Arabidopsis thaliana: one gene and its partner. The protein of the gene in region 1 purifies or fractionates together with the protein of each later gene. This does not show direct contact. Each region holds a gene or a part of one and is shown in the gene's direction. Other genes may lie near its edges.

Region 1 (3,757 bases):
TGTTAGTTTGGCTGATGAGGTTGATTGGTGTGTAATAGGGAAGATTACCTGACGGGAGAGACATAGCAGTGAAGAAGCTATCTCAGGTTTCAAGGCAAGGCAAAAACGAGTTTGTGAACGAGGCTAAGTTGTTGGCTAAAGTTCAGCATCGCAATGTTGTTAATCTTTGGGGTTATTGTACACATGGAGATGATAAGCTCTTGGTTTATGAGTATGTCGTTAATGAGAGCCTCGACAAGGTCCTCTTCAGTAAGTTTTTCTTCTCAATGAGATTGGTTTGTATATTAGGATAAATGATATTGAAAGAAGATGGTTTTAACATGTAGTGGTTGCTTCATTTGAATGCAGAATCCAACAGAAAATCGGAGATAGATTGGAAGCAGAGGTTTGAGATCATAACAGGCATTGCTCGAGGACTGCTCTATCTACATGAAGACGCGCCAAACTGCATCATCCACAGGGATATTAAGGCTGGCAATATTTTGCTGGATGAAAAATGGGTTCCTAAGATTGCAGATTTTGGGATGGCTAGACTCTATCAGGAAGATGTAACACATGTCAACACTCGTGTTGCAGGAACCAAGTATGCTCTCTCTATTGTTTACCCTTAAAAAGCTCATTTACATATCTTCTTGTGTCATTTGAACTCTTTTTGTTTGTTGGTGTTTCATGGTAGAATGTTATTTAACGTCCATTGCTTCTTCTTTTCTTATGCGCAGTGGTTATATGGCGCCAGAGTACGTAATGCACGGGGTTCTATCGGTAAAGGCAGACGTATTCAGCTTTGGGGTTTTGGTTCTGGAGCTCGTAAGTGGACAGAAGAACTCGAGTTTTAGCATGAGACACCCTGACCAGACTCTTCTTGAATGGGTAAAGCCTCTAGTCTCATGCTCCATTGTTTATAGGGTTGTTGTGTGATGGCCTGACCCAGCCAATATTCTTCAGCGTAATATAACCAATGCTAAATTCTTTCTGAATGTGACACAGGCATTTAAGTTGTACAAGAAAGGCCGGACCATGGAGATACTAGACCAAGATATAGCAGCTTCAGCTGATCCAGATCAAGTCAAACTCTGTGTACAGATCGGACTACTCTGCGTTCAAGGCGATCCGCATCAAAGACCGAGCATGAGACGGGTATCTCTACTTCTCTCTAGAAAACCAGGACATCTAGAAGAACCGGATCATCCTGGTGTCCCGGGATCTAGATACCGTCGGCGAACACAACGTCCTTCAGGAGCAGCATCACTTGGAACATTGTCGACCACTGGTTCCAGCACAGATTCTTTCGGTTCAAACCTGAACACAAACACGGGAACTGGTGTTAGAGGTACCCCCGCATCTTCTAAAGCTTCAACTCGGAGTAATGCCACTAGAAGTGCTGGTCAGAGCTCTAGCTCAGACCCTCACGGGAAACGACATATGAGTTATTGAAGTACATAAAATCTGGTCATAGGTGATTGTAAATAGCGAGCTGCATATATAATATTTGTTTCATAATTTATTTAATTTTGCTTTTGAAAAGTAAATTAATTTATTTTTTTGACTGCAGTAGTGATTTAGTTTTGTAGTATGATTTGTTATATTAGCGGGAAAAAATTATGATTCATTTGTTACATTTGTATATTAGAATAATCACTTGTAGTCCCATTATCTAGGTCCCCACTATTGGCCTCGTACGTATAAAAGCATATTCTCTTGTACGTATTAACGGTACCTTACTTTAAACAAAACATAAAACTAAAATGTTTTTTATGCGTTTTAAATTATTTTTCAGTTAAAATTTATAAAAAGGGTTTTTGTAAACAATTATTTTGATAGTAAAAGAAATACTAACTGAAATTAGTGGAGAAAATACACAAACATATATTTAACTTTCTTTAATTTAAAATATACAGATTTTGTTTCTTTAATTTTTTTTTTCAAATTTTAGTTTTCATTTATTTTTAAATAAAGTATGACATGTCATAATGTTGTATTTTGATTTGTCATTAAAAAGGGGGTGAATCAAATTGGTTCACTCTAGAGGTGAACTTCGCCAAAGAATCACAGACCGTCAGTGTTAATCATCAGAGACATCAACGTAATGTTCCTCTTGGTTACTTCTTGCTTTAATGTTCCTCTTGGTTACTTCTTGCTTTCTACCTGATTCAGGTTCTTCAGTTAAAGTTTCTCTTTTCATTTTTGGGGTAATGCCCGGTTGGGCCTCGTTGTTTTATTTAGGTTCTAGTTCTAGGGCCTGCGTGTCCTTTTAGGCAGTTATTGCCATGTATGTTCTTTGGGCCATTCGTGCCTCTGTCGGCTTGTTGGGCCTTGTAATCGTTTCGGCTCTATTGGAAATTAAAAATAAAATATATATACTAACCCGTTTTGGGTAAAAAGTTAGGTCCACTAAAAGACGAAAAGAGATCCTACCAAAAAAAAAAACGAAAAGAGACGAGCCACACGCGTCACCTTCTCGTTTAGCCTCTTCATCTCCTTTCCTCAGACTCACTGTGTAAAAAGGCTTTTATTTTATCATCTTCAGGCTTATTCGATTTTCTTCAGATTTGAAATGGTGTCGTTCAAGGTCTCTCTCGTCTCTACTTCGCCTATTGATGGCCAGAAACCTGGGACTTCTGGACTCCGTAAGAAGGTTCGTTCGCTTTCGCTTCTTCTCCTTGTTATATCAATCCCCGCGTTCTTATTTCGAAATTGGATTAGAGATTTGAATTCTAAATTCAGATCTTCGCAACGAAATTGATTTCTTCATTTAGTTCCGATCTTATGGATTGAATGAATTTTGTGTGTTGGTTTTAACAATTTGATCCGATCCGATGAGATTTGAATTTACGCATTGTTTCGTAATTTTACAGGTGAAAGTGTTTAAGCAACCAAATTACCTTGAAAATTTTGTCCAGGCAACGTTCAATGCTCTTACTACAGAGAAAGTTAAAGGTAAAGATCTCTCTTACCTCTCTTTGATTGTTGTTCAGGTAAAGGTCGATGATTGCAAATTCCATCTAAGAAAGAGTATTTGTTAACTTTTTCAGGTGCGACACTTGTGGTTTCTGGTGATGGTCGTTATTATTCAGAGCAAGCTATTCAGGTAAAAGCTTTATATGTCCTTTGAATGATGGCAAACTGCGTTTTGCATTAACTTATAATTCTTAGACACTTTACTCTTATTTTAGTTGTTTTGAATCTTTTATTTCATAAAAAAGATAGTTCGTCAATACCACTTTATTTCCTATCTGGACAGATTATAGTAAAGATGGCAGCAGCTAATGGTGTTAGACGTGTGTGGGTTGGTCAAAACAGTCTGCTATCAACTCCTGCAGTATCAGCTATTATTCGTGAAAGAGTAGGGGCTGATGTGAGATATCTTCCTCTAAACTCATACTACTTACTTTTCTCTTGGGTTGTTATCTAAGGCTATGCATGTTTGCAACATGTAATGACGTGATGAGAAACTAACCCGAGATCCAATTTCAGGGATCTAAAGCCACAGGAGCATTTATCTTAACAGCAAGTCATAATCCTGGTGGCCCAACTGAGGTCAGTTCTCTTTTTGTTCTCACTCTTTTGTGCTTGTTCATTCGATACCCTCACTTAGTATTATTTGAATCCTAGCATCAGTTTTGTTAAACTATATGTTCATCTCTCTGCTTCCATATGCTGATTTCCTGCTATTCTATTCACAGGATTTCGGAATTAAGTACAATATGGAAAATGGTGGACCAGCTCCTGAATCAATCACTGATAAGATTTACGAGAA
Region 2 (3,757 bases), on another chromosome or scaffold:
CTTTGAAATCTTACCGTTTAGTTTTCACGTGCGTTTTCAGAATTGGTCTCTTTTCCTTCAATGGCTTTGATGGTTTTGAGAAGAAAGTGTCTCCGTTTGCCAGATTTTATCTCCGTTTTTCGACCTGCACCGCGTTGCTTCTCCTCGAGATTTTCCAACAGTGAAAGTGGTAAAGTTACAGTGACTGGTTTGAGTGGTTGTGGTATAGAAACTGTGGATGATGATGTTTGGCATGTTTCATCATCTTTATCCCAAGCTTGGAGACAGTTCCAAGCAGACACTGCAAAAAACTCTCCCGTTACAATACAAGGAGTAAGAGAAACAATACTCGATGATGAAGATCCCGATCACGATGAAATCGATAACATGAGAATTCGCGGTGATCTTTTCTTCAAGCTCGATCGAGGTTCAAAAGAATTCGAGGAATACAACTATGACTTCCACCGCAAGAATCAACACAAGAACGCTAAAAAGGAGCAAAACCAAGAAGAAGAAACAAAGATAAAGAAGGATAACAAGAAGGAAGTTCGTGACGAATACAAGAAGAGAAATGACTCTTTCACAGGTGAGACGGATCATCCTAATGAAGCTGTGAAGAAGAGAGAAAGAACATTTACGTTTAACCAACTCACGGCGCCATTTCACTACCCGTTTTGCTTAGACATATACATCTCGAAAGAGTCTGTACGAGCATGTGTGATTCACAGGGTGACTAGTAAGGTTGTAACTGTGGCTCATTCGATTTCAAAAGACATGAAATTCGATCTTGGTTCGAGAAGAAACGTTGCAGCTTGCGCTGCGGTTGGGGCAGTTCTTGCTCAAAGAAGTTTGGAAGATGACATACATGATGTTATATACACTCCTAGGAAAGGAGATAAAATTGAAGGTAAGCTTCAGGTCGTGCTTCAAGCTCTTATTGACAATGGTGTTAATGTTAAAGTGAAGCTTAAGCAGAGGAAACTTAAGAAGAAGACTAGTCATCTAATGATGGCCTAGAGGACTGAAATTTTCTAGTTTGTAATATGGGCCCAGAAGATATGTTTCTGTGTGGGGCCCAAAAAATGTTATCCGTTTCATTTCTACGTTTCTTGTCGGGTCAAAGTGTTGACTTTCTAACAATGATATCATCGTTTTCTTATACGTAACTTCTCTGCTCTTCCATAGCCGATCGACCTTTGTTCACAATTCCCACCGATTTTTATTTGCTAGATCGATATATTTTCAGGTATGATGATATATATATCATGGTTTGTTTATTCATCTGGAAAGTTTTTGATGCATCATGATCAGGACAAAGTTGGCGTGAAATGAAAAGTTTTAAATAAGTTTTTTTTTTTTGTTGTTGTTGTAAACCTATAATCAGATGATGAGATGATCCTATATTAATCGAATATTTTGATTAATTATACATGATATTTAACAATTGCATTCATCTTTTTTCTTTTGTGAAATCTAAGCAGTGAGCTTGAAACATGGCTTCAGTGGCTCCTAAAATCGCTAAAGATGTAACTGAAGTAAGTAACCTCCAAGATTATGTCTTTCTTCAACTATGTCTTGTCAGTAAATGTTTTTTTTTTAATTGATATTTTTTATTATTTGGGAGCAGCTAATAGGGAACACTCCATTAGTGTATCTAAACAAAGTAGCTAAAGATTGTGTTGGTCATGTTGCTGCTAAGCTTGAGATGATGGAACCATGTTCTAGCGTCAAAGACAGGTGCTTCCGAAAAGTTTAAAAGCTCTGTTTTCTAGTTTCTCTGTTAGTGACAAAAGAAACAAATACTTGTACTTTGTTCTTTTTTGTTGCAGGATTGGTTATAGTATGATTGCTGATGCAGAAGCTAAAGGACTTATTAAACCGGGAGAGGTCTGTTTTTTTTTTTAAATGGAAGCTATTAGTCAGATTCTTCATTTGTTAGTTTTTGAGATTTTTAACTTTTGAGTTTTTTCTTTAGAGTGTGTTGATTGAGCCAACAAGTGGGAACACTGGAGTTGGTTTAGCATTTACTGCAGCTGCAAAGGGCTATAAGCTTGTTATAACAATGCCAGCTTCAATGAGTATAGAGAGAAGAATCATTCTCTTAGCTTTTGGAGCTGAGTTGATTCTTACTGATCCGGCTAAAGGTATGAAAGGTGCTGTTGCAAAGGCGGAGGAGATTTTGGCGAAAACACCTAATGGTTATATGCTTCAACAGTTTGAGAATCCTGCTAATCCAAAGGTAATTACTATTTAGTTTAAGTGCCTTAGTGGATTTGAAGTCAGATACTTATAACATAGTATTGTGTTCATTGCAGATCCATTATGAGACTACTGGACCTGAGATATGGAAAGGTTCTGGTGGAAAAGTGGATGGCTTTGTTTCTGGTATTGGTACTGGTGGTACCTGAACAGGTGCTGGGAAGTATCTCAAGGAACAGAACACAAACATAAAGGTGAATTTCATTTACTTATACAATCAGACTCTTTCTTAGTAAACTCAAAACTTGTCTCATTTGTTTTCTCATCTTATAGCTGTATGGTGTCGAGCCTGTTGAAAGCCCTATTCTGTCCGGTGGAAAGCCAGGTTTGTCCTCAATAAGGAACTCTTTGGCACACTTTTTCTTCTTTTACTTTGCTCACATGTTAGTCTTGAGTGTTCATTATGAGGTCCTTCTAACTTTTGGTGTTCATATCAAGATTCATTGAATTTCAGCCTAACACATTGGTAAAAATGCTCAGGTCCCCACAAAATTCAAGGTATAGGTGCTGGTTTTATTCCAGGCATTTTGGATGTTGATCTTATAGATGAAGTTGTTCAGGTAAGGTTTCATACCAATATCATCTTGCTGACTCCAAAACACACCTTACATTTCTTAGTTGCCTCTTATAGTTTTGTAACGCTTACGCAGGTTTCAAGTGAAGAATCCATTGACATGGCAAGGCTTCTTGCTAGGGAAGAGGGTCTGTTAGTAAGTGCTTCACATTTTGCCTCATCAGATTTTTCTGTTAAGCCAAAAATGTCTTGATTCAGCTTTATCCTCACCATTATGATTCAAACCTCACCATGAAAATAAAAACAGGTCCTTGATCGTTATCACATTTGTCTCCTCCTATGTACTGTAGGTGGGAATCTCATCTGGAGCAGCAGCTACTGCAGCAATCAAACTTGCAAAGAGGCCAGAAAATGCTGGGAAGCTTATAGTGGTACGTTTTTTCCAAAGCTAAAGAACAAACAGTGAACTCATGGAAGCTTAAGAGTCGATCTTATAATAAGAGATGTGAAACTGAATGTTTCAGGCGGTGTTTCCGAGTTTCGGGGAAAGATATCTATCGACTGTACTGTTTGATGCAGCAAGGAAAGAGGCAGAGACTATGACCTTTGAGCCCTGAATCTGTTCCCCTTTCTTCTTGGTGATACAAATAAATGATCTTTCTTCCAACATATATATCTTCAGATTCTGTCTGTATCTTGTCATTTGTGAGAACTCAAAAGTAGTTTGTCTGCTACTATGAACAATCCATTTCTAGAAAGTTTCTGGTTGAGTTTTTGCTCTCTCTATTTGAAATCTTGTGTGATCAAAAACAGTGACGAGAGGACAACTACATCTACTTTATAAATAGCCCCAAGCTTGGTACAATATTTTAGTGATTTGGAATTACAAACAAAAATATTTTCTTTATCTCTTGTAGATCAGATTAGACAATCAAGAAAGCATATCCAAAAAGCTTTTATCCAATCTACGATCTGATAACATATCAATAACCATCTTTATGGTGG

The links. Proteins that work in one complex are often made in the same cells at the same time.
Region 2: the proteins of PGM2 (region 1) and OASA2 fractionate together in Arabidopsis thaliana (co-fractionation; one large-scale study listed by BioGRID). This does not show direct contact.

Annotation. Positions count from the first base shown.
Region 1 is NC_003070.9:26,671,524-26,675,280, reverse strand, and holds the start of PGM2 (Phosphoglucomutase/phosphomannomutase family protein), read left to right. Parts: upstream 1-2,114; coding exon 2,115-2,189; intron 2,190-2,398; coding exon 2,399-2,635; intron 2,636-2,855; coding exon 2,856-2,937; intron 2,938-3,032; coding exon 3,033-3,088; intron 3,089-3,241; coding exon 3,242-3,355; intron 3,356-3,474; coding exon 3,475-3,537; intron 3,538-3,683; coding exon 3,684-3,757. Other genes in the region: AT1G70740 (Protein kinase superfamily protein), read left to right, coding at 39-249, 349-583, 720-906, 988-1,434. UniProt on the Arabidopsis thaliana protein: Catalyzes the reversible isomerization of alpha-D-glucose 1-phosphate to alpha-D-glucose 6-phosphate. The mechanism proceeds via the intermediate compound alpha-D-glucose 1,6-bisphosphate.
Region 2 is NC_003074.8:7,962,383-7,966,139, forward strand, and holds OASA2 (O-acetylserine (thiol) lyase (OAS-TL)), read left to right. Parts: upstream 1-1,744; 5' UTR 1,745-1,808; coding exon of another isoform or gene 1,809-1,821; coding exon 1,822-1,866; intron 1,867-1,954; coding exon 1,955-2,218; intron 2,219-2,294; coding exon 2,295-2,331; coding exon of another isoform or gene 2,332-2,387; intron 2,388-2,391; coding exon 2,392-2,432; intron 2,433-2,511; coding exon 2,512-2,563; intron 2,564-2,718; coding exon 2,719-2,798; intron 2,799-2,888; coding exon 2,889-2,948; intron 2,949-3,102; coding exon 3,103-3,183; intron 3,184-3,276; coding exon 3,277-3,369; 3' UTR 3,370-3,525; downstream 3,526-3,757. Other genes in the region: AT3G22450 (Ribosomal L18p/L5e family protein), read left to right, coding at 61-996; AT3G22470 (Pentatricopeptide repeat (PPR) superfamily protein), read right to left, coding at 3,684-3,757.